Linked DNA regions of Bombyx mori. The main gene of each other region encodes a partner of the protein of the gene in region 3 in a complex. Links are inferred from orthologs where the notes say so. Each region holds a gene or a part of one and is shown on either strand. Other genes may lie near its edges. The genes, in order: DNA-directed RNA polymerases I, II, and III subunit RPABC4; Znrd1; DNA-directed RNA polymerases I and III subunit RPAC1.

Evidence for each region.
Region 1: DNA-directed RNA polymerases I and III subunit RPAC1 (region 3) and DNA-directed RNA polymerases I, II, and III subunit RPABC4 share a complex: the UniProt entries of both Homo sapiens proteins name them as parts of the pol I pre-initiation complex. The link is inferred for Bombyx mori from reciprocal best matches to the Homo sapiens genes POLR1C and POLR2K.
Region 2: DNA-directed RNA polymerases I and III subunit RPAC1 (region 3) and Znrd1 share a complex: the UniProt entries of both Homo sapiens proteins name them as parts of the pol I pre-initiation complex. The link is inferred for Bombyx mori from reciprocal best matches to the Homo sapiens genes POLR1C and POLR1H.

The regions. Positions count from the first base shown.
Region 1 is NC_085111.1:12,246,598-12,257,203, reverse strand, and holds DNA-directed RNA polymerases I, II, and III subunit RPABC4, read right to left. Parts: upstream 6,572-10,606; 5' UTR 6,379-6,571; coding exon 6,315-6,378; intron 5,666-6,314; coding exon 5,573-5,665; intron 4,907-5,572; coding exon 4,884-4,906; 3' UTR 4,734-4,883; downstream 1-4,733. Other genes in the region: uncharacterized protein LOC101737452, read left to right, coding at 1-857; uncharacterized protein LOC119628526, read right to left, coding at 7,875-8,543; ARL14 effector protein-like, read left to right, coding at 9,895-9,974, 10,081-10,224. UniProt on the Homo sapiens protein: DNA-dependent RNA polymerase catalyzes the transcription of DNA into RNA using the four ribonucleoside triphosphates as substrates.
Region 2 is NC_085112.1:11,749,779-11,759,594, reverse strand, and holds Znrd1 (transcription-associated zinc ribbon protein), read right to left. Parts: upstream 5,796-9,816; 5' UTR 5,795-5,795; coding exon of another isoform or gene 5,790-5,794; coding exon 5,663-5,789; intron 5,439-5,662; coding exon 5,228-5,438; intron 4,970-5,227; coding exon 4,945-4,969; 3' UTR 4,654-4,944; downstream 1-4,653. Other genes in the region: chromobox protein homolog 1, read left to right, coding at 9,448-9,505, 9,608-9,782. UniProt on the Homo sapiens protein: Core component of RNA polymerase I (Pol I), a DNA-dependent RNA polymerase which synthesizes ribosomal RNA precursors using the four ribonucleoside triphosphates as substrates. Can mediate Pol I proofreading of the nascent RNA transcript.
Region 3 is NC_085131.1:5,577,144-5,587,862, reverse strand, and holds DNA-directed RNA polymerases I and III subunit RPAC1, read right to left. Parts: upstream 7,581-10,719; 5' UTR 6,983-7,580; coding exon 6,929-6,982; intron 6,850-6,928; coding exon 6,549-6,849; intron 6,168-6,548; coding exon 6,048-6,167; intron 5,576-6,047; coding exon 5,393-5,575; intron 5,297-5,392; coding exon 5,069-5,296; intron 4,424-5,068; coding exon 4,311-4,423; 3' UTR 4,296-4,310; downstream 1-4,295. UniProt on the Homo sapiens protein: DNA-dependent RNA polymerase catalyzes the transcription of DNA into RNA using the four ribonucleoside triphosphates as substrates.

The DNA.
Region 1 (10,606 bases), on a different chromosome or scaffold from region 3:
ACTTCGGTGAAGAAAAAAATGGCGATGATATCTTAAAATCTGATGAATTTTCAGATTCAGAAACCATGAAGTCATCATCGATATTGGAACATGATTCTGTTGCGACAAAAGTCGTAATTGGTGTGGGTGGCGTGGCTTTTAAGGTTACTAAAGGCAAAGAACTTGAAAGTTCTTCATATCCCCCTGGCAGAATCATGGAAGACGGATGCAGAGATTGCAATTTTTGTAATAAGACATTTACGAAACCTTCACAGCTACGGTTGCATCTAAATATTCATTACATGGAAAGGCCCTTTAGATGTAGTATATGTGCCGTGAGCTTTCGCACACGGGGTCATTTACAAAAACACGAACGGTCTGCTTCACATCACAACAAAATATCAATGACTTCAACATTCGGGGCAGCAACGTCGTTTAATCCCAGACCGTTTAGATGCTCCGACTGTAATATAGCGTTCCGAATTCATGGACATCTTGCTAAACACTTAAGAAGTAAAATGCATGTTATGCGTTTAGAGTGTTTGTTTAAATTACCTTTTGGTACATTCACCGAGATTGAACGCGCCGGTGTTAGTTTGACAGATATAGACACAACAGATTGTGATAGTTCGCTGGCTAGCTTGCAATTGCTCGCAAGGAAGCTTCACGAAAAAGATCCAACAAAATTGGAATATCGAGATCCTAACGGTCTAACAATAGTAGAACTACCTGCAGGCAGGGAACTGTCGGAAGACGAAGATAACACACCCGCCGATAACGCATGTGTTAGTGAAAAAAACAGTAATGGAAAAACAAGTGAAGGTAATGAAGATCAAGAAATGGAAACACGTGTTAACTGTAGTGCCACAGATATTTAGTGCCAAAATTATATTACGTACATAGTGTATTTTAATGTGCAGTTTTATTTTGTTTTTAATTTAAGTGTAATTATTAAAGCTGGGGTTACTCAGATTCGTGTGAAAACAATTGTACGCTTTAAGATTGTAACATACTCTAACATTAAAAATTCGAAAAATATTAATATGTATCTTGTAAATATCTCCACGTAATATTAAATTTGTTAAATTTGCTTTTAATGTAAGTCTTATTATGTATTAATACTGTTATTTGTAATTTCTACAGAGATAATATTTGTTGAATTGTATTTGAAAACGAAGACCTAGATGGGATATATTATTGCGACAGAAAAAAAAGAGGTCCACATTTTTTAAACTACGCTTAAATATCAGTCAAACATATTACATTGTCATAGGAGTAGTCGGATGATATATAGAATAGAACAGCACTTTTGTATGAATTTTTGTATGACATATTTACCACTTCATATTTATACTATGTAACTACTACTTCCATAAATTTAAAACAATTGGCATATCAACTTCCATACACTAAACGTAGATATGAATAAAAAACAAAAATGTCTTCCATAAAAATGTACGGAAATAAATTGAATTTAGTTTCTTTAAAGTTATAATCAATTTGTATACATGTTTAAGCTGGGCTCTCCGATTTAAAAAAATTATATTAATAGTAGTATAGTTTTGATTCCTACTATTATGCATTACTATTATTCATTTAATTTTTATAGTCCAATGTAAAAATAATTATTAGTGTGAATGATCAATGATCTGCATGTTTTGTCTTTTTTGTAAGGGATAGGTTACAGAGCCTAGTTTTTTATATATAATGTACTGTTATTTGAAAAGTATATATATATTCATTGTTAAACTATTTTTCTAGAAATTAAGCTTTATGGCGCTAATATGAAATTAAGCTTCATTGAAGCTGCAGACCACAAGCTGTTCGAAAATATCACTATTAATAATACCAATCAAATCAAATTCAAATTTTTAAAATATATGATATCATCATTATGTTTCTTTATTGTAGTATATATATGTCTTATATTGTTATATAATATATTGTATAAACTATTTTAATAACGATGTAGATTTACAATAACATTTTTACAATATTTTCGAACTGGGTTGCTGCACTGCGCCTTATACTACTATTGTACTATACCATATTGGAATATCAATTTTCAAAAACAAACTACTTAGTTATTTTTGTAAATATCTTGTGTCTGATCATATCACGGGACTGTCATAATTATTAAGGTACAAAATGTATTTAAGTACCACCATAATAAATAACTATCTATTAAAATATATATGTACATAATCGATAAAAACCTAAATCTACCATTATGATCAAGAAGCTTATAGCAACAGAAAGGCATCGACGCTAATCAATGATTTATAATTATAGGCTCCTAATTCTAAAACTTATACAAAAAATCTGCTATACGTTTTAATTGAAAAAACTGTTGAAATAGACATTCAAGCGGAAACGATAAATCGTATCAGTCTCGAGAGGCGACATAAAGTGCGGTAAATAAAAAAATAAATATTTTAAACAAAATAACATGCATACTTAAATAATTCACATCTACAAATAATGTTTCTAATATTAATCCAATTCCGGATTGGCATGAAAGAAAAATGATAATATTCAATATAATTTCAATTGAATGCCTATTTACTGGTATTGTCATTATTCACATTATTTTAAATCATACATGATCCATCCTTTCATCTCTCATTACAGACGGGACTCTATCAATTTTACTTGCCCTTGTTTACCATTACTTATAAGATCAAACCGTTTACAATTTAAATAACAAAATCAAAATTCGATATGTTACTCAAAAATGTGATCCGACGTTATAATTCTCGCACTATCCAATAAAATTGTTTCCAATTCTTTGCTATTCCATTGTTGTGCGAGCGGCTCTTTTTCCATTTAAGCCAGTGTGCTTAGTGCGAGTTTTTTTAACGTTCTCGATAGCGTAAAAGTTAGGTCATATTTGTATGGAATGGGATCGCTTGCGTACGTTTGCCGCTAGGGGCGGTTCCAATTGCATACAAAATTGGCTTAACTTTTACGTTATCGAGAACGTTCAGAAGCTCGCACTAAGCACACAGGTGGCCTGTAAGCGGTCTTATCTACAATAATAAGTTGTTCTAACTGATTAAATCCATCTAATAAAATTTCAATGGTTCGGTACTAAACGTTTCATATTAAACGTCCCCAAGCTAGGGTTTTCCCCTTTGTTATAATGGGTGCTTGAAAGTTAAACATGACAAATGTATGTACATTTAGTCCTCGAATGCCAAATGTTTTTAATGAAGAAGCTGACTTCGAATTTAAAGAGGACTCTGTGATACAATAGGTAGCTAAAGTCAACTCTACTAATTCAGCAAAGCCATAAATACATATTTAAATGCGTATTTTACAGAATACAAATAGCTCATTTCCATATTAGTTTTTCAATGAAATTATCTCCTCTGTTAGCCACTAGTATGATTTTAAATAAATACATAATTATTATTTTCAAAACACTTGCGAATAGAAATATAAGCTTTTTAAAGATAATCATTTAGTTATTTCAAGTTTAAAATGATTTTTAATTGATATTTTTCTATGTAATTTTTATATTTCAACTACCGATAAATTGAAATTTATTACGTCATCTGTATAGTTCTCTAATTGGGACATAATATAAATTCGAGACAGAACATGTAAAGTTACTTGATCATAAACTGTCATGATTTTGTATTTTGTTTCCAAGAATGTTATTTGTATGTGCTATAAACTTTTTGATTATGATTAGTGAGTTGGTAACTATAGAATGGAATTAAATCTCTTTATTCAAATTTTCTTTATGCATGTGTATACCCATAGCATGTTTATATTCACTATTATATAACGTAAGCAAAAAGTTGACTTAGAGGAATGTGTGAAAAATTAAATTTGATATTAATGTCGTGAGTCCTAACAATTATTTATTGATAGTTTTTATGGATCGAAAAAAAATGTATATTTGTGGCTATTGTAAAATTTTAGACATACATTTTCTGGTGTTTTATTATGAGAGGTAATAATTTTAATAAATTGTTAAAACTTTATAATGATGAAGTTACATAATTAAAATACACTGAGATATTTCCCTTTTGTTTTTTTTATTAGTTGTTATTATTTAACGGAAGTTTTACGAAAGTACTCCATATTGACACTTTGCGTCTGGCGCCACTAGCGGTGTCGTGTGCAAAACTGGCCAACGGTCACACGTAAATGCCGCCACCCATGTTTACGATTAAAGGAATAACATCGTGTAATGAAAATCAAACCCGCAAAATTATAATTTGCGTAATTACTGGTGGTAGGACCTCTTGTGAGACCGCGCGGGTAGGTACCACCGCCCTGCTTATTTCTGCCGTGAAGCAGTAATGCGTTTCGGTTTGAAGGGTGAAGCAGCCGTTGTAATTATACTTGAGACCTTAGAACTTTATCTCAAGGTGGGTGGCGCATTTACGTTGTAGATGTCTATGGGCTCCAGTAACCACTTAACACCTGGTGGGCTGTGAGCTCATTCACCCATCGAAGCAATAAAAAAAAAAGATAATGAACTCATTTGATATCTATCTATAAAGTTACATATTTTTCTTGCACTTAAGTCTTTTTTTTTTAAGGCAGTAGTTCATTTAGAAACATCAAATAAGTTGATTGATACTTCAAATCATTCAGATTACTTATATCTATTGGGTACAATTTAGAACACATATATCATGGCGGTAGGTGGCATTCATGTTTTAATGTCTATGGGCTACCACCAGTATATAATGTAAAGTGATGATGTAGATCTATAAATCTACTATAAAAAAACTACCTTGTATATATTTTTTTTCATTGGTCAGTATTATTAGAGCATAGACAAAGTAACAAAAATACACATTAACCTTATTATAAATTTATTTCACTCTTCTGTGCATGATGTATCCACCGAACTTATCTTCTAGGGTTTTGTTTCCAGAATTCGTTTACCGAGCGTCAAACACAACCACTGAATTCTTACTTAAGGAAAATTTTTCAGAATATTACGAACAAAAATATGATGAATTTAAAATCAACACAAACTACAAAAAGGGTAATTTTCTGAAGATTTTAACAGATATGAGTCGTCTATTATCAAAGGTGGCAATCTGTACATTTGGACAATTTTTTTTTATTGATATGTCAATACAGATTTATTTGAATATAATCGTCTCCTTCAAAGAATACGGTTCAAAACCTGCATTAAATAAAGGTTAATAGTTAACCTGTTATTTATCTAAGATGTCGTTCCGAAGAGTTTTGTGACTGCCAATGGAATACAAAGTCAATAATTCGTTTTTCTGATTTACCAATCATTGTCCAAAAGTCAGATTGCCGCCTTTGATAATAGTCGACTCATTTATTACATTTATTTTCTTGCAAGCTCAATGTGATCTAAAGGATAAAACAGATGGTGTAGTTGTGTCAAGCTGTGCAACCATGCAAATGTGCAAATTGCATATACCAATATCCAAAGAAATATACTCTCGAAATGTGATCACGAATCACTTCCACAATGAAGGAATTAAATATGGGTGATACCTGTCAATACCTTTCTACTGATTAAAATCACTAGGCTGTATCCTAGTCCTATAATCTTTACTTTAAGAATATATTTATAGAATCAAAAGGATACGTCTTTTTGTTCTTTTCTTGTACATTATTCTGTAACCACATTCTCTGCACCTAATAGGATCTCTTGGTTTGATTTCATTCTCTTTGTGACATTCTGAAAATGATAATGAAAGCATCATTTGTTTTGCAGACCCATATTATAGTTTCAGGATTGCATTTATTAAAGAAACCAACATTTAAACAGTTGAAGTAGATGATCGGCAAAAACAATAATGTAGAAAAGGGCAAACAATATAATTTACTCTCAATTGAATCAATTTCATTTTTCTAATACTTTTAAGTTTAGGTTTTTTAAATTTTAATATTAATATTAACAAGTTTTATTAAAAGCACTTAAGCTTTTACGGCTTTTAGCTTTACTAAAGAACATTTATATTTATACAGATGCATTCCCCATTTGAAATATAGTAAAACAATAACACATTAAACAAAACGCCTTAATTTATACAATGTTATAAGACAGTGTGAATAATTTTATAATCTACTATACACAAAAGACAAATTAACTGATTTATTAATTCTTTGTTTAGTAGACATTGACAAGCTTAGTGTTATCGGTAAGAACATTTTAAAAGTAGTTTCTTTCTTTTTTCTATAAAAAATGTTCATAAATCAAGAGAAAAAGAAATACAAAAAAAATATTCAATTATTGGGGTATGCTGATACCTAACAATTATTAGGTTATTTTGTGTTAGTGTTTTACAAAGTGATAGAAGTTTTGTTATTATTTGGTTACACTGTACCTCCACAAACATATATCATTGGCACTTTAGTAACTGATTGCTCTTTCCCAGTTGTGTCAGCCATTATGTGCTAAAATAGAGAAAAATTAAATAATAATAAAAAATGTGTTTTATTTTAAATCACCAATTTGATTTAAGCTTTATATTAAGTGTATAATCTATGCTTTGGATTGTTATTTTGTGTGTAGAATCTATGGTTTTTGGATTTGTTTAATTAAGCCGCAAAGGGAACTTAAACCATAAAACGTTTTGTTCAAAAGAGGGCTTGTCTTGTTGAAGAAAAAAATACGTAAAAAAAGGAGTGGAAATTTAAAAGAAAAAATCATCGGGACATTGGAGGGGAACCGAGGATTATTTTTAATTATTTGTTCGTCGTTTGATCGTCAATGTTTGAATGTAAAATTATCTGTTCGTCTTTTATTTATTTATAATTAATTAAACAAATGATCACCCTTCAGTTGGCCCCTCTTACTAGATATCTTTGTTTTTATTGCTCAGATTAATTAATTTTGATCAATTATTGTTTGTTCGACGACTATTGGTGATTGTTCGATCATAAAAACAAGTAAATTCGAAATTATTAATTATTTTATATCTAATAAGCAAATTATCACCTCACGCCTACATTGCGCATGCGCCGGTTTTGTCAGTCAGATGGCAATGGCCGACGGCCGTATTTACTACCTTTTTGTTACGCGCGAACATTAACGAACAAACGACGAACAAATAATTAAAAATTAAAAAAATCGAAAATTAAAAAAGGGGACCAAATTCAGTGAGCCGTAAAGCAAATAAATGGCATATTTTTTTACATTTTATTTATGGATTGAGTTAGCTAATCTGTGCATTAAGCTCCCAAACATAGAAAAACAGACTTTTTGGCGGGAACGCGAGGAGTGATATTGTGTGATTTGTTATATTTTGTCTATTTAGTGTTTCTTCGGGTTTAAATGTGTAATAATGGTGGTTTATTAGCAGTTTAATATCTGTGAAAGTGCACAAATGTGGGAAAATGGAACAAAGCCGCTGGACGTAACTTCTCGGGATCCTCCAAAAAGTCCACTGAAAAATCTTAGTAAATGACCACCATTTTACTGAGATTATATTTCATCCCATATTTTCTCATTTCATTTCGTTTTCATTTCATTTCATGCCATGTTTCACAATAATCAACTTCATTTCATTTAATAATATCATTTTTCATATAAAAAAGTTATCATTAAAATTAAAATAAGACTTGACCTAAAGGTCTTAGTTACCAGGTCATAAAATCCCTTAAAAAAACAAACATAGTAAACAAAGAAATAAATATTTTTTCATTTTTTTCCCTACCTGCACCTGCCTATTCGCTTAATACTCGGCAAACTTCTTGAGCATTAGTTGACGTAGTGGGGGTAAGTTCGCGCATCGTACAATTACGTACAAAAATGTTAAGTTATTAAAAACAACATAATATGTATTTATTTATATATTTATTAGTACATGAACAAAAAATACAGGTTAATAATTGTAGTAATTTAATCTAGGGGTAAAATAGATATTCCTTCCATTAGGTCAAAACTAGGAGCTGGTGCCAGGTCTTGGATCAGCTGAAGCTGAGCTGGTATTTTTAATTGTTTTTTCGCTATCATAATCATGACCATCATCATCATCATCACTACTTTCTTCATCCGTGTCGCAATCATCGTCAGCAAAAATTACAAACTCATCAGTGACTAAATCTACCACATGATCACTTTTTACATACTCCGCCTCAATATCTTTTATCTTTTGACATATTCTACCCCATTCCGGAGCACCCATCACCGCGACCTTTTCCTTCACTAGCTCTATTACTTTGCCAGTGCTCCAGTCGACATTTTTGCTACTGACATACCCTTTAATAGCTGCCCAAGCCATTTCAATTGGGTTGAGGTCTGGATGGTATGGAGGTAAGCGAAGCACTGAATGGTTGTGGTTTGATAAAATTTTATCAATGCTGTATGTTTTGTGTTGTTCCTTATGTGCTTTAATCAAGCTAAAAAGCTGGGGTTTCAACATGTTTTCATCGTATGGAATTTCTTTTTCTTGTAACCATTTCTTCATATAGACTTTTTTGGCATTGGCAGTTGGAGCGGGGTCAGACTGTTTATAGTGATATGACGCATTGTTGACTACTACAACGGAATTTGGTGGCAGATTTGGTAGCAATTGACAACGCAGCCATTTTTCGTAGTTCAAATAGTTCATGTTATCGTGGTAGTCACCAGATTTTGTGCCAGCTTTAAACAAAAGAAGGGCATTGGGAACAAATCCATCTTCGGAGCCAGCATGCACTATTACTACACGCTGTCCTTTCGAAATTGGTTTTTTTAAACCCCCAGTTGATCCATCTGACCACGACATACCACTTGCATGTGATGAGTCGACATAGGACTCATCGGTGTACACTATCGGTCTTCCTTCTTGCCTATATTTAATTATTTTTTGGAGATATTCGATCCTTAGTAGTCGAATATTACTTTTTTCAATTAATAGCTTCCGATTATTTTCTGTTCTTTTCCATCTGAAGCCTAGCTCTTTCATAATTCGTCGTAAACTTCGTTCCGAGCCATTAAAATTTATATCTTCTTTCAATTTTTTACGAAGTCTTTCGACGGTAGGAAGTTCGCTGTTTGTTATGTGATAATTATGAATACATCTTTTTATTGCAGATTGGTCGAAACTATCAATTCCGGTAACTTTCTTCTTCCCTGATCTTTTTTTACCTGGAGTACGAAACACGGCGAGCAAGTTAGAGCCCTTCGCTTCATTAATAATACGCCTAACAGTACTGACTGATGTTTTTGTTGCCTCTGAAGTCTCTTTTACCGTTTCCATATCATTATTTCCCTGCTTTTTAAGAAAGCAATATACGTCGTACACCATTTTTCTAGCTTGTCTTTTTAATACTACACCAGTTTGACGTGGCATAGTATATTTTTTATAAAAAATCAAGAAACACTCAACAAATAGCAATAACAACAAAATCAACAAACAATAATAATTATAACAAATAACTTCAACGATTAATATTAATAGACTTTTCACTGTACGCAAGCGTACTTTTGGGAGCAAGCGGAACGAGTCTCAAATATATTAAGTGTATAATCTATGGGAACGAGGGCGCGGTGCGGGACGCAAGGTTCGACTGATCTACCAACAACGCGCTCGATACGATTTCCCCTGCCGTCGCGCCTCACCCTCACCACCAAAGTGATCTAAAATTCGGTTCTGCGCAGTCAAGGTCATTTGCTCACAAAGTTTACCGCATAGAGTAAGATTATATATTGTTTACCGGTTACAGCTGGCTATTTCAGCTTCTCAGTACTTCTCACCGACGGGTAGGTGAGCTCACCTCACTAGCTAAACCTGAGAGAATTTGCTAACACTAGGCCTAACAAAAATAGTCGCAGAATTCGCAGAATCTTCCACCGGATAAATATATAATAATAAATAATAATAATAATAAATTAAATATCGTTTGTATTCGGGTAATAACGCGCGGAAGAGAATATTTTTTTAATATTATTTTGTGTTTGTAGCATGTACTTTTTAAAAGATGCGTTTCTTAGATAATTTTGATCCTAAAAATTCAGCTCGTGAACGTAGAAAAGCAAACAGGAAAAAATATTTCACTTCGTAAGTTGAAACAATTTCTATTCTATTGAATCCGTTCAAGTCTGAATTTGTAATATATATAAATATATTTTCATCAATTTAATAGTCAATATTTCTAATGTTGCAGTCGAAAAGTGAAGAGAATTTATGATGACCACGGTCATATTGCTGAAACTGGCAAAGACTTGTGTGATTGCCTCGATGAGAAGTGTCCCGGATGCCATTTTCCATGTGCAAACTGCAATTCCAATAAATGTGGCCATGAGTGCAGGTATAAACAATATATTAATTTTAAACAATAATTAATCTTTCAAAATAATCATGGATATCAGATAGAGATAAATGCTGTGGTACAACACTTATTACTGGTTGTAGGACGTCTTAGAAGTCCACACGGGAAGGTACCACCACCCTGCCTATTTCTGCTGTGAAGCAGTAGGTAATGCGTTTTGGTTTGAAGGGTATGACAGCTTTTGTACTGTTAAAAGTGAGACCTTAGAACTCATGTCTCAAGGTGGGTGACGGCATTTACATTATAGATGCATCAGATGGGCTGTGAGCTCGACCACCTATCTAAGCAATCAAAACTTTTTTTTTTAAAGCCCTTATTCTCCTGTAAAATTTATTAAATTGCATAATTATGAGCAGTGACA
Region 2 (9,816 bases), on a different chromosome or scaffold from region 3:
CGGCAAGCCCAATTATATGACTGCCGATATTTTACGAAGGTACTAAAGTTTAAAATCGAGTCGTGCGAAAACGTTGTTGAGCATTTTCTCAGTTTCACATTTCGATTACGCTTTAAACGAGTCTGGACCGTAATACCGGTGCTCAAAAAAACTTGCACACAAAACTCGTAAAACCACACGATGTATAATGCAAACTGAAACAAGTGTTTACTGCATGCGCGTTGATGTCTTTTATACTAGCTTATTCGCGCTGCTCCGTACTACATATTTATCGATAAATCTTCTCATATTTTTTCCGATAAACCAATACAACACAATACTAAAATTGGTTAGATATGTATATTTTATAATTTTTTTATTTTTAATAATTATTATTATATTATAATACTTTGTGTATTAATTGTATGTATATTTACGGAGATATGCATGTATATATGTATGTGTACATACATGTATATGTATTTCACTGGAATGGTACACCGCGCGTAGTTCGTTTCCAAATGATTCTTGTCCACCTGATGGTTGTCTGGAAGAGATCGCTCTTAGCGATAAGACCGCCAATTGTACTTTTTTGTGTTTAATGTATCGCACTGTTTATTTGTTTTTTGGTGTACAATAAAGAATACTCTCTCTCTTTCTCTCTCTCACTCCCTCTCTCTCTCTTTCTCCCTCTCTATATTAAGCTTGACGTTATTTATGTTGTAAACTCAAACTCGTTTAAAAATATAACTAATAGAAACGTGTGTGAACAAAGTATGTGGAACGCGTCAATTGATTCGTTCGCGTTCCAGCTCAATCGGTTTTTTTTTTTCTTAAACTAAAACGCGCATAGTAAATTACAAGTAAAAGTATCATTAATACCTTTTATTTACACGTTACACTGACCCACTTGAATACGAGGCGTATTTAAAACACGTCTTATAAGTATTTTAAAACGTATCGAATTGCCGGAAAAAGTTACCCGTATCGATTAGTAACGAATTACAGAATTTCGCACCGAAATCAAACATAGCCGCGGCTTGACGCGAATATAAAAAAAAGTAAAAAAAAAAAACTCACCGCCTTTATTTACTATTACGAACTTAAGTCCCCGGCACAAGTCCACAGAACACAATCCCGAATTAGAACAACGGATTAGGGTTGCGCCACGCACGTGTCGATGGATGTGGAATTAGTTGGATCGCCGATATTGACGTGCTGTCGGAACAACGGCCGCGGGAGACTGGCGCGCCGTCGCGTCTGGTTGGCACCTGCACTACCGTAGCTAGTGACGGTCACTTGTCGATGTTATCGATAAATAAATTACCTATATTACTTCATTTTAGATTCATATCAGGCCTAGATAGATAAATAAATATCCTTACAAGTAGTTACGTGTGTTGTGAGACCGTATGGGTACCACCTCCTATTTCTGCTCTGGAGTAGTAATGCGTTTCGGTCTGAAGGGCGGGGCAGCCGTTGTATGTACTATGTATAAAACATAGACTTAGAACTCTAGACTAGGTGGCATTTACGTTGTTGTTATCTATGAACTCGGGCAATCACTTTACACCAGGTGAGCCATGAGCTCGTCTACCCATCTAAGCAATAAATAAGCAAACATGGATTTTGGAAATTTGTTCTACCATTCAATTGGGTTTCATTCAGATTCAAAAATCAAGCAAAAAATATGGCTGTACTTTTTTTTCCTACCGAATCTGATAGCCTTGAGAGGCTTCGCAGAATCTACCACCGGATCGGAAACGCGACCCACTGAGAAGATCCGACGAGAAACTCAGTGGGCTGTGTCTGAGGGCTAAGGGCTGTACTATTTCATGTTTAAACTAATAGTACACCCTATGGACTCAACGATCAATAAATGCATAAAGAGGTACCTACTTAAGGTTTTACGTCACGAAGCCATATTTTTAATTCGAGGAATCGAGTCGCCTCTTTAAGCGGTTTCCCTACTGTTTTTGGTATCAAACGCTGAGGTATTTTATGGGCAAACGAGCTAACTACCGTTTGTGTTAAATGTTTACCGTAGCTAACAGATATCACAAATGTTAATACCTCATCCTAAGTCTTATGGTCGACATCAAAATCGTGTATTAATTACGTAAACTATAAATTTTCATCAGATTTCATTATTACTACACGATTTTAGTCACACAGATTTTAATTATGAAACAATTTTAATGTAACAGAGATTATTTACGACGTTTTACCTATTATTATGCATAAGATCATTCTCTATATATCATGCAGGTTTTTTTAATCCCGAACATTTGACGAAAATAACGCAACGATTATTGATAAATTGGTAAACTTATTTGATTAATTGGTAAACCTAAAAATCTTATTTAGGTTTTGTATTTTAATTTTATAGTTGCTCTTAGTCTGGCGAGGCTTTGTTCGCGCTGCAGGAGTCGCCACGGGCGGCAGGACGCGGCAAGCTCTGAATGACAGGGGAAAGCAAACTCATTTATCTGCCGCGTGTAGGTTTGATCTTGACAGCTGAAACACGATCCGAGCCCGCAGTGATTGGCGAGATTCATGTTCGATACCGGCCGGTAAAGCCAGTTTGTTGTCGCTGGAAGACCGCATAAAGGTCTGTTAACGATTATATCGAACTGTGTTTTATAAAATCAATTGCTTTTTTTATAATAGTTAAAATTACTTTAATCTCCGCGGCAACTCTTAGTCGTCCGTGACCATGAAATATTTAAAGTATTATAAACGTCGAAAATAATTTTATGAGAAAAAAAAGAACGCGATGCTAAACTGTAGAAGTATTTTTAATTGTGTCTACCATGAACATACTTTCATATTAATTTCGATAATATAAGTTCATCGACTGTGTCCATCACTAATCCGTTCGTACGCAACGTACATCGAATGATCAAATTAATTACCGCCTCATCTCGGCTCGGACCAGCTCTCAGCCGAAAAACCAAGCTGACCCTTCCGTCAGTATTAAAAAAAAACAGTTGAAACATATACCTATCCTTTTCTGGCACGTTAAAAAAGACTTCGTTCGTCGGAAGGTAGCGTGTATTGAATGTGAAAAGTAGGTTTCACCTGCGGCTTGTGAATGAACTGTTGTTGCGCGGCATCGTTTGATGTGTGAAACAAACGTTTGACAATTGACAGTAAGTACTCTAGAAATAGGCTAAGACAGCGGCTCTCAACCGTCACGACAGCCTAGATTGTTTATAATAAAAATTGTATTTCGTAGATAGCTGCCGGTTTGATCACGCAAACCTCATTTTAATTTATTTGTTAAATATTGTAGTTTAGGCATAATTTATTGGCATAATTTATTAATGAGATATATATTTTGTTAGGCATTTTTTTGTTAGCTTTGTCTTTTTTTTTTTTTTTTATTGCCTTTGTAGGCAGACGAGCATACGGCCCACCTGATGGTAAGTGGTCACCGTCGCTCATGGACGTCAGCAATGCCAGGGGCAGAGCCAAGCCGCTGCCTACCATTAAAATGTCTATTTTAAAAGTTTATTATCTCGAATGGTATTTTGGTCTATTTAATAATTAACTACATTTTATTTGTAGCGCGTTCAAAATCACATAGCATTATTTTCTCTTGTGACAAAACATTGTAATTTGTTTATGAAAAGTCTCACAATTTAAGGAAACAATATTTTAAGTTTTTGCTGTTCAAAACCATTACTGGCTAAATTGTTTTTTTTTAATATAAGTTGTTCTTAGTTGGACGTGAGAATAATATTGTAAGGCAAAACAAACACATGCAAGATATTACTACCGCCGTATGAATTGTATGCCTTTGGAAGTGTCGATTCGTTACTATTAATAGTCTTAGATTACTAGCAGATTATTATGACTGTGCTTTAAGACCACTTGGAAAATTGTTCAAATCACTACCAAAATCTAGATTTGACGAGCATAAAATTTGAGAACCAATGTGCTAAAGGAAAATGTAATAATGATAAGTTTCTCACTCAAAGTTGGAATTTCTATGTAATGACATATTATATGAATATTGTTTTGCCTTGAGTAAACCTCAGGTGCTCAGCAATTGACACGGCACTGTTATTACTTGAGAATGTGTAAGTGATCTAAAACAACCACATCATAGCTTCTGCCCACATTTCTAGAGCAAAATCTCATTTTAAAACATCATTCACAACGGACACTGTTGCCAATACTACGATTATTTTTCTTCATTGTATGGTTACGCTAGCTCACAGCCCACTTGATGTTGTTGTGGTCTATAGGATACGATGCCGGTTTACAAGTATCAAGCGATTGTGCTGGTGTTAGTATCAAGGGATAAGGCCTTAGGAGGCAGGTAAAAATTTTCCTTAATAAATATGTATGTATTACAGAATCCAGTGACTTCTACTATGGAAGATTAGCAGTGTGTACTTTTGTTATACAGGCATATTATGCTTACTGTAGGAAACTAATATGGCCGAGCTTGTTCTACATAGAATTATTTCTGAGTAGTGTATTATAAGTTTATCAAAAATTGTCAAATGTAAATCTTCTACACTAAGATCCAAATAAACTTGTTGCATAAAACTCTTCAATATTGCTATGGTTTTAGAAACATGGAAATAAAACCTTTTGAAAAAGAAACTTTCATTGAACTTATTATTTAAAAATAGAAATGTATTTCTCAGCATAAAAAAAACATTTGGACAAATGTTTATAATTTCAATTATTCAGATTTGATTCTATTACATGTAATTTTTAAAACATGGTTTTTAAGATTAATCAGTATAGAATTTACAGTTTAAAAGTTATCATTCCAAGAAATGGAATTAAAATTACGCACCAGTTACATGGTGATTAATTTTAATCCTTATTAAATTTACCTAATTTAAAACAATCAGTAAAACTGATTTTTGCATAAAGTGATTCTGATACAATGATTCTATTGCCGAGTTTTCCTTTGACAACCTTAAAACTAGTATAAAGCAGCCTTTAGGAGTTTTCAGTTTCCTTGTATCTGAAAATAAATAATACTTTACGATATTATCTTGTACGATGTGTTCTTTTTTAAATTAGGAAATAATTTTATTTTTGAGATAGTAGTTGCTTACAAGATCATTATTATGTCCAGTTTTATATTACCAAGGAAATTTGGCCACAAGTTGCAATTATTTTCCTGTCTTAGGCTAGTGGTAGGGTCCAATTTTATTTAATACAAGTACAGATATTGATGACTTGCTCATCGAAATACAAATAAATATTGTAATTTACATACTTGCACTTTATACATGTGTAGAAAACTGTTTGTCCTTCATCGGCCGATCGTAACTGTAGAGTTGCATATGACATTCTGTCGTAACCGCATTTAGCGCATTTTCTCTCCACAACTGGACCCTCAGGACCATCAGTATGTAGTATATTCTCATTTGTGATCACAGATATAGTATTGAAATGTATTGTGTATTGAAATTTCATTTTACTATAATCTGTAAAAAAAGAATTTCTGAATAAAACATTTTTTTAAGTTTTTATTTTATATTTCGAAAACAAATACAACAGGTTCTTTCTGGATTTCATAAGTATCACTAAAGTTTTTTTATTTATTATAAATTTAATAGTGAATATTCGAAAATTATACAAAAGCATAACGCTGAAAAATCGTATCCCGTTTATATGAAAGTAATTTTTTCATTGGCAACTATATACTTACTATCAGCCTCATAATGTGCTTTACAAGTGTAGCATTTCACGGAGCCAAACTCTTGTAGCAAGGGTAATATGGACCCACAGCGAGCACAAAACGCTGTACTAGTTGATAACGGGCTTTCAGTGGACATTATTTCTAAAAGTAAACACAATTATCACTAAAAGGGTTGTGTATTTTTGTTTAGAATATTAGGTTATTTTAAATCTTTATCTATTAGTACTAAACATAACCAAAATATATTTTTAAACCAATATGAAGCATACTATATATTTTTGTGAAGGGTTTTAGACAGTTTTAGTGTATACATACCCTAAGTATTTGCTATACAAAAACCTATTTTTTTTTTACTATAATGATAAATTCATTACTTACGTACAATTTTTTTTAACTGTTTGACAATTGACAAAGGAAACATAGCCCATACTGATAGTATTAGATCACTTGTAACTAAAATTTGAAAAGATGAAGTTCAGTAACTGTTTCTTTTTCTTACCTAAGCTCATAGCCTTGAGAGGCTATGTTAGCGTCACCTAACAAGTAGGTGAGCTCACGGGACTCAAACCTGATGACGTTGCTAACGCTAACCCTAGCAAGAGCAGTGCTTCTCTGAATCTACCAGCGGATCGGAATCGCGACCTACTGAGAAGATCCGGCCAGAAACTCAGTGGGTTGTGTCTGTGGGTTAATTTACTCGCCGAGCCCTTTGTCGCAAGCGACGGTTTCGACGAGAACGATGACTGGTGATTTGAAGTGCTTAAAAGCACCGTTAGTGGATCGGGAGGATACGAAATGACGTGCTGTAATTAAAATAATGAAGATTGCACTTCTACGTTTTAGTTTTGGTGGACTTTTTGTCTCTCTACCACAGTCTGTGACAATGCCTACAGAACTACAGAACGCTCCCAGTAGCTGTAGATATAACCACTACAGTCTACTACAGCTCATTTTTAGCTCTTGCTCTTTACACTATTACTAACTCCACTCTATAAACGAAATTATAAACGCAATTCTTCAATAGTGGATCTCTAAAATCAGTCATCTTCATTGTTTCTCATATATAGATTAGTAGGTATTTAGGAAATATGTTGACAACTGTCGTCGTTGCGGATTAAACTCAAACTGCAGTATAGGAAGCATTTATTTATTCCACACGCACCTTAAAATCGTATACATTAACAATCAATTGATTTTTATCTTTGAACCTTTTAAAAACGTAAAACACATTTTTTTATATCATGACATTTTTCCCTCAAACTGACAGCCTGTCTTTTGAAGTGAAAACTTCTTTAGAATCGTTGTGATTTCAAACCGGATGCAACGGATAAAACGACAGGTAAGAGACACAAATACAAAAATGTGTAGGATGAAGCCAGCAAAGAATGAGACAGAAATATACATACTATTTAATACAGCGCCATCTGTGAGATTTTTTAATACTAACGCGTGTATGAAAGTTCTTGTAGTGAATTTTAATTTAGGATTATACGTGAAATTAAAATAACAATTCACAGAGGGCGCTACCTTACAATTATTTACTAATGACAAAATTTTACATATACCTAGTCAGGTCATAAGTATTGTCACACAGTAAAAACTTTTCTTTTAAAATGCTGGCCACAAAAAAAGTTTATTGAATTCGAATTTCGAATTGTTCATGAAAATAAAAATGTATACTTTTAGAATTTTACTCATTTTTAAATATAGAGTGGACGCTTAAAGAAGACCATGTTGCAGGTATTGCGTTGCATCGTTGCGGTTACGCGCCAATTCAAATTTTTAACATACTGAAAATTTTGAATATAACCAAAAGATTCGTTTATCGTACCATCAAACGATACAATGAAGACTCTAGTGTAGATGACAGGTCAAGAAGTGGTCGCCCTCGGTCTGTTAGGACTCCAGCAGTGATAAAAGCTGTGAAGGCGCGAATTCAAAGAAATCCCAAACGTAAGCAGAAACTGTTGGCCCTTCAGATGGGGTTAAGCAGAACCAGGGTGAAAAGGGTGTTAAATGAAGATTTAGGGCTTCGGGCATATCGAAGAAAAACAGGACATCGTTTGAATGCTCGTCTAATGGACCTGAGACTGAAGAGATGCCGCGCTTTGTTGAAGCGGTACGCGGGAAAAAAATATCGGGAAATTCTTTTTTCGGATGAAAAAATTTTTACCGTAGAAAAGAGCTACAACAAACAAAATGATAAGGTGTACGCAGCGTACATAGTGAAGAAGCGAGCAACCGTATTCCGCGTGTCCAACGAGGTTATTTTCCATCCTCGCTCATGGTATGGTTGGGAGTTTCTTATTGGGGCTTAACAGAGATACATTTTTGTGAGAAAGGTGTAAAAACCAATGCAGTTGTGTATCAAAATACATTCCTGACGAACCTTGTGGAACCTGTTTCTCATACCATGTTCAATAACAGGCACTGGGTATTCCAACAAGATTCGGCGCCAGCTCATAGAGTAAAGAGCACACAAGACTGGCTGGCGGCGCGTGAAATCGACTTCATCCGGCACGAAGACTGGCCCTCCTCCAGTCCAGATTTGAATCCGTTAGATTACAAGATATGGCGACACTTGGAGGAAAAGGTGTGCTCAAAGCCTCATCCCAATTTGGAGTCACTCAAGACATCCTTGATTAATGCAGCCGCCGATATTGACATGGACCTCGTTCGTGCTGCGATAGACGACTGGCCGCGCAGATCGAAGGCCTGTATTCAAAATCACGGAGGTCATTTTGAATAAACTTTAGTGTCATAAGAATCTATGTTTTGTTAAGTTCATTTTGGTATATGAATGATTACATAATGAATAAACTTGTTTCAATTATTTTACATTAAACATGTGACAGAATTTATGACCTGACTAGGTATTTATGACGTTTAGGATAATTGTATTTTAATTTTGGAAGGTTTCACTTCTACCACGTGTGAATTGCACACATGTATTTTTTTTATTTTCTTCGGGATCTCTCCCGTTGTTAGTCTGTGTGTGAAAAAACCATTCACCACAGGTATTCTATAAAATAAATATGTGAAATTATGAAATTCACTATAAATAAATACAATAAACACAGCCTAAAAGACGAAATGCCCAATGATTTTAAATTTTTTTAATTGATGTTTGGGTTTCAAAATCCGAGATTTCATTGTCATAGTACTTATAGTAATGAAATTGTCCGTTAGTACATTTAGGTAGAAAGACTTCAAACTGCTTATGTTGGAAACTTAACTTGGAAAAAGTCGAAGGAGGGAAGAACGATAGATGAGAGTATCTAACAGATGGGGAGATAGAATAAAAATGTCAAAGACTTTTATAAAACTGTATTGAGATAATAATTTCAATTCTACATTTATGTAAAAGAGGATTTTATTAAAGGGGGTTTCTAGATGAAGGATCAGGAGCCTTTTTGCACGGAAGTTGTGTGCATTGTTTTATTTGGTACTTCCTCAGGTTGAAACTTATTATAACAGTTGCTTATTAAACGTTCAATATTTGTAAAAATAAAACAAAACCACTGGACGTGTCTACTTGCGTTCTTCCATGAGCTCCATAGAATTCAATAAAATTGCTCTAATAAACTAAGAGCTTACTTCATTTCATTTCACCCAATACCTGCAGTGCTATCTAATGTCCCTCACTCAGTCCTATTAATTTATTTCTAAATTTAGTTTTATTTTACTTTTTATTCCATACGGATGATTTTGGTTATTTCTTATAAAATTATGACTGTATAGCCGAAGTACTCATTGCCTTTCTAGTGGACGAATTATTCGAACAACAATGTCAAATGCCAAATTATGAAAATTTGAGTCCGCTGTGCAATTCTAGGCTTCGAAAACTTATTGGTACCTACTTTTTTTCTATTGTGGAACACGCTTTACCATTAATTTAGACATTTATCTCATAACTAATGGATGAATCACTAGAAGCAGAGCTATCGTTCGCAGAAAATGCTCAACCGGCACAACCCATGGAGACTAGTCAGACGGACAACACTTTAGCTCAACCTGGAACTGTTGTTCCCGGCGGGAAACCAGAAGAATTTTCTGTGGAGAAAATACTTGACAGAAGGGTTAAAAACGGGAAAGTCGAATATCTGTTAAAGTGGAAAGGGTACTCTAAGTAAGTTCCTACGTTAGGTACCTACACAATGTTT
Region 3 (10,719 bases):
TTCATTAATAAATTATTTTAGTGTTAAGCGCGACTCCCTTACCTCCTATAGTAAATAGAAATCGGCATTTCAAGAAGCAAAAATAAATAAAGCAAAACGATGTTAGTTCTCCGAGCAATTAAGGGAAAAGTTACTTTATTTGTTGCCTGTTAAGATTGATTTAACATTAAAAGTTGTTTAAAATATGTCTTTTTATTTGTAAGTGACAGGAGTAATTTATTGCTTTGCTCGTTTTATGTGACGAATGATCGTAAGTATTAGATAATGTTTTGGAGATTTGTGACTTTATTACTAGGTGCCATAGTTGTTATTAGTTTGAACGTAAAAGTGTTTCAAAACTTTTTTCTCCGTTTGTTAGTAAACGAATGTAGCTATATAAGTATAAATTCACGCGGACAGTTTTTGCTTTAATTTTGTACGTATCCCTTTATCTAGTTACTATTGTTGATCGAAGGATAATACACTTCATCTTAAACTGTGCAGTAGTCGGTATTCCGACGCTCCGCAATTCTTACGCATTAATTAAGTCGACCTATCGACGGTTCGCTCTTTAAGGGATAGTGGACATTATGTTCAAATATTAGGGGTTTAAGTATGAAATTGCCGATTTTTTCTGAAAATTCGTTTTTTTTTTCATTTCACATATTTATTTAATCAATATATCTACCATTATTATCTATACATTGCTGCCATCTAACAGGAAGGTCATTTATGCCTTTGCGATAGAACTCTGGTGATGTAGATTCTACAAACTGTGTGAAAGCATATTGCATTGCCTTCTGGGAAGAAAACTTTTTATCACGTAGAAAATGGTAGTCCGTTGGAGCAAGATCTGGCGAATGCGAATCTGGCGAAAGGGTGACGAACGGTTTCTAATTGCAGTTCCTGTAGAGTTAAAACGGTTTCTCGTGCTGTATGAGGTCTCGTGTTATCATGGAGCAATAATGGTGAAGATCGATTCATGAGTCTGGGCTGTTTCACTGCAAGTTTTGCTATCATTGTTCGGAGTTCGGCGCAGTAGACATCTGCCGTTATTGATTGACCAGATCGGAGAAAGCTATAGTGAATAACACCATGCTGAAACCACCAAACAGTCACCATTACCTCTTTATTGGTAAGCTTTGCTTTAGGACACTGTTGCGGCGTTTGACCTGGGGTCAGCCATTGCATTTTTCGCTTACGGTTATCGTAAAGAATCCACTTTCCATCACACATCACAATTCGATCAAATATTCCTTCATTTCTGTATCGATTCAACAAGGTAACACAAGTTTCAACACGCGGTCCTTTCTGCAGATTAGTGAAAGCATGAGGCACCATCTTCATATATTTTTATTTTATTGATTTGACGCAAATGGGTCAATATTGTTGGAAGGTAACGTTAAACAATGCCACTAATTCCTGGGTAAATGGCTCGGATCGGCTTCCACCATCTCTTTGAATTCATTGTTATTCACATGGGTGGTCTTCCACCTGATTCCAAAATTTCCATCACGAAAGCGTTTAAACTAAAATCGCAAGGTGCGTTAATTAGCAGTCCCCTCTCCAAACGCAACATTGACATTGCGAGCTGTTTCTGCAGCGTTAGTTCTGCGTCAGAATTCGTATTCAAAAATCACTCGAATTTTCGAAGTATCCATTTTTCTTGTCTAAGCTGAATAAAAAAAACAGCTGAAAGCCGATAATAGAATGTTGCGCATTTTTTAAAAGACGAACCTCATAGGTACCATTTGATAAAAGTTTCAATCAAAAATCTCAAGTGCCTATTACAATAAAACGGCAATTTCATACTTTAACCCCTATTATCTATAAACAACCGTCAAATCCATCCTACTTATAACTTCGGTAGATTGCCTTCAACAGTAATAAAAAGTTTAAAATGAAACAGAATAGATCCAGCCTGTGATCAACTATCATTCACAACCACGTTGGGAATGGCAGCATTCGTGCTGTGTTGTCTATGGGGTCAGGTAGTCACTACCCACCAGGTGGGCCATGATCTGCCTACATAGGGAAATAACAAAATAAGTAAAAGAACATAAATAGTCCATCAGTCAGATACTTCTGCTACAAGGCCTATATGGTTTGTAGTTTCAAGAGTAGGATAACCATTATTCCACAACGATTGTCAACCTCAATGTATCTCCAGTAACCACTTAATAATACCAGATGAGCTTTAAGCTTGTTCACTTATCTATGTAGTGATAAAAAAAGGGTGAGAGATATTGAGTTCATATTGAGATACTTTATTCTTAACATTTCAGCTGGGGGAGCAACATCATCCTTAAATTAATGAGAAATCGTTCCCAAAAACAAACACACCAATTTGTGATAATTACAAATTAATTTATATAGCTAATACTAATACTTAAAATAAATTATTTTAAAACACAGCATACTTATGTATGTGTAACAAAGAAGTTTAATAATATTCTTATGAATATTATCACTTTTCATGTATAAATGAAACCATTTGTTTTCTCAAACATACTCCAAATTTCTTTAAATGTTAGATAATAACAAAACAGAATATGAACCTTCTTATAATTTACTTTAGCTACATCAGCACAGAAGTTACCTACGATGTAAACATATTTACGAGTACATTAGTAATTTCGTAGTCCTTGAAACATATACCTAATGACAATCCTTATGAATTGTTAGATACTGCATGTATTAAGTTACAATTTCAATTATCAATAAATTACTGCTTTGTTTCACTTTTGGCAGCCCTTGTTTTACGCCCTTTTAACATGTTGGCTGCGTTTTCCATCACCATTACCAGTTTGTGTTGTTTTTCAAGTCTTTCCAAACAATTTTTGCAAATGGTTTTTGGGAGTGGGTCGGCTCGAGAAATCTGTAATTTTGATTTTTATTGTGCAGTTACCGTAATTAGTTTTTATTATTTCACCCTTGTGAGAAAAAAATACAGTACTTACGTTTATGGTGAGATATCGACTGATTTTTTCTGAAATACATAGTCGTATGCCTTCTTCACCATATATATGTATCACAATGCGGTGCATTTCAGAACATAGTCGACATATGAACCCAGTTAGGATTGCTCTGTCAAGGCTACCCATTATCGTAAGAAATCAGTTAAAATTCAATAAAACAACAATTTTTTTGAGTACATTTCCCAAAATGTAGGTAAATATTTTCATAGCATTTTTTTTTGTATTATTCGTCCATTGAACAAGCAAAGGGAACATAGCTCATACAATTAAGTCTTTTGCAACAATTATTGAAGTCATGTCTATTTTAAAAAATGAAATGGAATTAAATAACGTGAGATAGCACCGTGTGTTGGACGAGGTAAAGTGCAATAACCTCTCATTAAAATGATTCAAAATTTATTGAGAGTTCTATAGACTTTTTGGGAGAACCCGAGATGTCACGGCCTGCTATTTCTTTTAATTTTCCCTCAACTGTGCACTTCACTGTAGTTCATTCTGGAACAACTTTTTAAACAGCAGTCCTGAACATAGTCTTCAAAAAAAGTTATAATGGAACAACAGCATTATTTTTTTCGCGATAGACAGGTGGTTTTTAAGCAGAGCCTTTTTACTTATTAGTTCTTTCGACGCCCACCTGGTTGTTAAGTGATTATTGGAGCCCATAGTCATCTATAGGGAAAATGCGCCACCCACCTTGAGATATAAGTTCTAAGGTCTCAGTATAGTTACAACGGCTGACCCACCCTTCAAACCGAAACGCATTACTGCTTCACGGTAGAAATAGGCAGAGTGGTGGTACCTACCCGTGCGGACTCATAAGAGGTCCTGCCAGTAAACCAGTAAATTTCACCACCAGTATATTTTCATCCATGCTGTTTTACCATAAATATAAAAATTGCTATTCATATAACACTACTTGCCTTCGTACGTATGGTTTGGCCGCAGATTTATAATACACTATTTACGAATTTTAGTAAATCCGATTAGACAAATAATAAAAAAAAATGCAGTTATGATACTTTAATGAAAGTACAATAACTTGCTGCTACTACTACTACAAAGTGAAATATTAAAATAGCTTCTTTACAAAACTACAATTCCTAATGTGATTAAAAAAATCAAAAACCAAAACCGAATTTAATGCAAATATAAAATTTATTTTAAGTTGATTATTTACTGTATGATAGCCATTATTTTTTAGCAAAACAAATGAACGAATTTCTTTAAATTGTAAATGCAATGAAATTCAAAGTTACATTGTACGTTCGATCATGACTATAAATGCATACTTTCTTTGGCAAGATTAACTAGAAAATATTTAAAAGGGCAACAAAAACATTATTTAAGACCAGTTTAACTAAATTTATTTAATTCATCCAAAAAAGATCTACATTTATCTCTTAAAATTTTTACTGCCTCTACAAAAATTATCTGAGGTGGAATTGCTCCAACTGATTCCACATTAACTGAAAGATAAAACAAAATCATTAGTCAGCTTCATTAAATTATAACACACCAATGTGCAATATATAAAATAGCCTATATACCTAGATACATGTTAATCTTTGTTAAATAAAAAACATTCATATAATATATATATTGAATGTCTATCTATCTGTCTTGGAGGCAAATATCGTTTTTTGGATGTAACATATTAATTTCAATAATTTCCAATGTGGCCTATGTTATCTGTATCATAATAAGGAATTGATTTGTCACTTGTCAAATTCATTGAAATCAGATGAGTAGTGTAGGAACACCTATGTACAACATAGATACAAATATAAACACTTCTGAAAACATAAGCCTTTGCTTTTTTTACTTTTTTAGATTTTTGGGTTTGTAAATTAAACCTTAGACACAGCCCACTTAGTTTCTCACCAGATCATCTCACTGGGTCGCGATTCCGATCCAGTGGTAGATTCTGAGAAGCACTGCCCTTGCTAGGGCTAGTGTTAGCAAATTCGCCAGACTGAGCCTGTAAGCTTACCTACACGTTAGGTGAAGCTAGACCCCCTTGAGGTAACCAGCATTGATAGCAAAAAAACTGTTGCACATGTAATTATTTGTGGCATTTTTATGATTTCATTAATTTACATATGGCTACTTACATATGAAATGATCCCGAACTCTACTTAGGATTGCTGAATCTTTGATTGTGTCATATCTATAAACATTACGACTACATGCATCATATCTTGCATCTTTCACATATGCTCGGTTTTTAGAGTCAATACCAATAACACCTGGTGAGAAACAACTCTGCAACAGTGTGGCTTCACTGTCACAAACTTCACGAGTCAGTGTTACCTCTGGCAGCAATCTGTATGTAGCTGTTGCTGTAGAATAAAATGGATATGTTAGTTAAACCATTTTTTTTAATAATTAAAATAAGCTTATCTCATTTTATAAAATATTCATAAGAAGGGACTAACCAACAGGTGAAAATTTTGCATGATCCTTTCCTATGCCCTTCACGGCAATCATTTGAAGGTCTATTTCATGGCCAGGTCTCATTTTTGATATAAGAATATCCTTATGTACAGGACCCACATCAGCTTCTTTATAAACTGTAGCTTGGTTGCCAATTGGATGCCACTTCATATGGGATGAATAAACTGTATAAACATATTTGTAATTAACTAAGTATTAAGAATAACAAAATCATCTAGCATTATATAAAAAAACTATAAATATAAATTTCATAGATTAGTCCATAGTTCAAAAAATCAGCTCTGTGTTCTGTCCTATCAGCATACAACAATACCACTCTATATCTTACCATGGTGTTGTTACAGGTGGCTAAAAAATTTACCAGAAAATGGCAGTAACATTCTATAAGTTTGGTATTGGTAGTCATAATTTATCTTGTCCATTTCTACTGCAAAGGAATCCAGTTTGTAAGGATAGCTGTTTTGCTATGGAATGGAAACTTCAATCCCATATCTTAATGTGAGTGAATCACCTATATCTATGCACTGCAGCAAGCTTAATACCAGGGCCATATGCTGATCTGCGATCTACTGTTATATTAAAAACATTAATAGGCTGTTTGTTACACATTATTATATTGATATACAGAAAACTCACTACTATGATTTTCATACAAATCTTCAGCTCTATATGAATCTTTTGGTTGTGACTTGCTATTGGTACATTTTACTTTTAGTGAAAATTCTAAAGTGTTGAATTCTGTTCCTTCCGTGTCTTCTGAAAATAAAATTTCAAATTATTTACAAGAGCTGCTCAAACAATTCTTTTATTTTCTGTTAACTTTTTTTATTTCATCATAGTTACAATAATAAAAATGGACCAGGCATCTTATCCTTTAGGCTGTGAAAACTTTACTGATTATGAGATATAAATGTTTATTGAGGTATAAAAGTGAGTATTTAATAACATCTTGCATTCCAGCTCTAAATTGTCAATTTTAGGATACTAGAAAAATGAATATTTGTGGTTTTATTAGTGTACTAGTTTACGTAATTGATAAATAAAAAATAATTAGACAACCAATTTCACAGAAAACAATCATCTTCCAAAACGAATGCCCACATATGGTCTCGGCTTTGTAATAATTTGTACACAAACCTTCAGATTTATATTCAAACAATCTTGGATCAGCTTTGAGAGGAATCAATCCTAATCTGTGTGCTAAAACTTCATCCTGTATTATAGAAGTGTTGTTCTTGATCATTACTTTTTCAATAGCCATACTAGGAACTTCACTTAACATGAGTCTCCGGAATGCGTTCGCAAATGCTGGCTGGATCCCAATCAAGTCAAATTCCATTTCGAAATTGTCCATTCGTACTACAACTATCTTAAACTTCTTCACAAACTTTTTGAAGTCCCATGTTTCATCGTCTAATCCGTAATCTTCGGGTGCATTCTGTACGGGCAAAAATTATTAGGTTATGATCATGTGCATTTTTATCGTTGTAAATAAGTCTTGCAATTTAAAGGAGAACCTTAACACGGAATTCTTCAAGAAAAACTCGGGGTTTTTCATCGAATTTAGGCATTTTTGCAATATTTTACTAATTAATGTAAATAAGGTTTTATCTTATTTCACAGGTATACAGTAACGTTTACTGTATATAAAGTTTGTCGCATATTTTTATACAGATATAATTGACAAAATTAAATATTTCGATGATTTTACGTAAGGTAGTGATCATAGATTATACACTTAAGTAGTGATTTTAAGTAATTTTTAGTAGGTAATTTAAACTTTGACTATGTAGTAAGTAATGTAAGTTTGTACTTATGTAGGTACATAGGTACGGTACCGGTAAAATGGGGCGATTAGGGATTGACAGGCGAATCGGGAAAAAACCGGGAAAATCTTTCGACGCTCAATATAAGTTTTATATTCGTTGCAAAATCTTCCATTTTTTGTAGTTTAATAGTAGAATGTTGAAAGTTCACAAAACAACTCTGAATATGCATGATAATAGCTGCTAACTTATAAAAAATCGCGTTTCAAATTAACTTCCTGTGGTGGTCATTATTTTAGTGCTAGAAACTTTGCTCTCTTTTATTTATTTGATAATAATAGAAGACGACTATGATTTATAAACGTTATTTAGTGTTTGAACCAGCATATATATTAAAGGTAAGTCTCAGTTGTTATTGCTTTTAATGTATTTGATTAAATAAAAATACATGTAAAAATCTGTTGTTTTTGGGGTTATTGGGGACGTCTTAGGTACAAATAACAACGAAAAAGGGGTCAATTGGGATGAGAATACGTGAAATGGAAACGACCTAAGTATAAATAGGTACAGGTTTGTAGGGTTGTCTATGTAGTTATAACAATATTTTTTGAATTTGTTGGTAAATATCTGGTTTATTCGAAGCGAAATTGGGAATAAGTCTTTATTTGAAATAGATAAGCAATTTAATATAAGTAAGTCGATTTTGCAGAGACATGTAACAAGATCAATGAAATCTCAAGGTGGACAAAAATGTCTAAGTAATACATAATAAAATATTTAATATTTGTTCAGAGTGGGGGTATTCATCTGATTAATCCATGGAATAACCGACACACCTAATCTCTTAACCCAGATAGAAATATCAGCACTGTCGATTGCACCTATAATTGAGGTGATGTCTGCCATGTACTTTTGTCAGTTTTTCATTTTTTTTTATTGATGATCACTTTGTTGGTGCAACTAAATAAATAAATAAATTAAAACTATATATAAAAATAAAAATAGTGCCAACCCTAGCAAATTTCTCATTACATCCCAATTAACCGCAATTTTCGGGTAAATAGAGATTACACCTATTTTTGCATTTTTTGCTTAAACTGGAATGCTAGTTGCATAATTTTAAATTAGACAACAAAGATGCCCCCAAGACTCAATCATTTTGATCCTGATATAGCATTATATACATCAACAACTACCTTAAAATTGCTCATAAAGTTGGAATTTGTCCCTAATCGCCCCATTTTACGGTACGGTACCGTACCGTATTGGAAAATAAATAGAGGTTTTTACTTGTTTGAATTGACAACTCGCTGGGCAAAAGGATCAAAGACCATACAATCCTAATTTTTGTTACAGTAAGTGAAGTCGTGTCTGTTTTATGTAAATCGAAACAGAAAGAAATGAAAAAAGTGTGTGTGTCCGCTCCGACGCACGACTGGAGTTTACTGGATATAAAAAATTAAACGAAACAATACGAGAAATAGTTCTATATTACGACAACACGATACACTACAGATTATTAACAAATTAACGAGACACAAAACAAACGACTAACAAATATATGAAAATACAATAATGAGAGAAACGCGCGATCAGTACGAGGCTTTGTGGCGGACTGCCGGCGCAGCAGCCCGGCGTCACCTGCGATAACGCGGCCGCGCGTTGGCTCCTGATTGGCGCGCGCACGCATCACGCAATCAGGAGCCAATCAGGCGCATAACGCATTTCGTGTGACATGCTAGTACGATTTTGGTCCCCATAATTTTCATACCCCGGGCCTATATATGTAAATCGATTCTAAAGGAGTAAACTCCAACAAAAGGAAACAAAAAGAAATCATTATTATTATTATTTTTTTATTTACTTAAGAAACGCTAACATTATTAACTTTAAGACGACTTGTTGACAAGAATGTGAGGAACGAGGAGGGAAGTGTGAATTATTTGTTTTGTTAATTTAGTGTTTTCTTAGGCTTTAACAACTATTAACGGTGACTTATTAACAAGAAAATATGGTATGGGACATGGCTTAATTTAATAGAGACTTTTTGGTGGGAATGCAAAGAGCGAAGTTGTGTGAATAGTTTGAATTTTTTATATTGGTGTTTCTTCAAGTTTAAGCGTATAATAAGAGTAGTTAGTATTCTTAATGTTTAGCATCTGCAAAGATGAGACTAATTCGCTGGACGTGGCTTCTCGGGCTCTTCCAAAAAGTCCACCGAATTCTTAGTAAGTAATCCCCATTTTACAGACACTTTTTTCATTCCATTCCATCTTGTTTCATTTATTTTTATCCCAATTGATTACAATCTCAAATAAATCCAATTTACTTCATTCCGATCCATATATTTTTTCATAAAGCACGTGTGTGAATGCCTGAATGTGTACCTAAGTATTAAAGAATTAAAAATATAAAAATTATTTAATATTTTTATAGAGTTGAAAACAGCTACAATGGCGGCAATAAGTTAATTGCATTGCTTAAAAAAATAGACGTGTTTTCTTTAGCGAGTCTTAACTTGCTTGCTTAATTTGCTTCTTGCCTGTGATTTTTCCCCGCCAACGTATTCACTGGTAGTCTAAGGGGCTATTCCAGTTCCTCCCGGAAGGGTAGGTGAGCTCACGGGCTCATCCTGAGAGAACTTGTTATCACTCTCTTGCTAGGGCTACTAGCAAGAGCAGTGCTTCGCAGAATCTACCGCCGGATCGGAATTGCGACCCACTGAGAAGATCCGGCGAGAAACTCAATGGTGAATCCGGGGGATCCGACTAGACATGTTTCGGGTGACAGCGGCTTTGTGTTTCTCCGTCGCTTGGATCGGATATGTAATTAGCGGCGGCCAAGATAAGACGGTTATCGTGTCACGCCGCTTTTTCAAAGTAGCCTTCTGATGATTCCTTTAGGTCTATATCGACCCCTAGGGGTCTATGACAACCTGCAAGGAGTCTACGTCAGCGAAAAAAAATTTGGGGGTCCACGATAGTGGATCTCAACACATACACTGCTAGTACCTATTTACTTACATCATACTATCTTAGACTACTATCAAGACATCATTAGCCGACGAGATTTAAGATTAACCCTTTTAAAATTGACGCCAAATGTTGATAATTTATTATTAAAGCATCACGTTCATCCTTCTCACTAAAAATATTGATTTATTGCTTATGTTATTTTATTTATAGTTTATTTTATGTTACGTATATTTTATATAACAGATACAAAATTTTATTTTGAGTAGTTTTAATTTAAATTCAATTAATAAATGTATAAATTAACATGTGATTTTACTTTAAGTTTTTAACACTAAACTTTAATACAGTTAGAAATTTACAGGAAATCAATATCAGGTAAGTAGGGGGTCTACCCAACACGGAAAAACATGGCAAGGGGTTTACGACACAAAAAAGTTTGGGGAACTCTGGTTTAGACACTTACGTATAGGTTCTATGCTTAAAAACTTGAGCAATATGTTTGTCACGTCACCGTCCTGTTTACAGACGTAGGATCCTGTAAAGACATGCTACACTTAACTATACCGA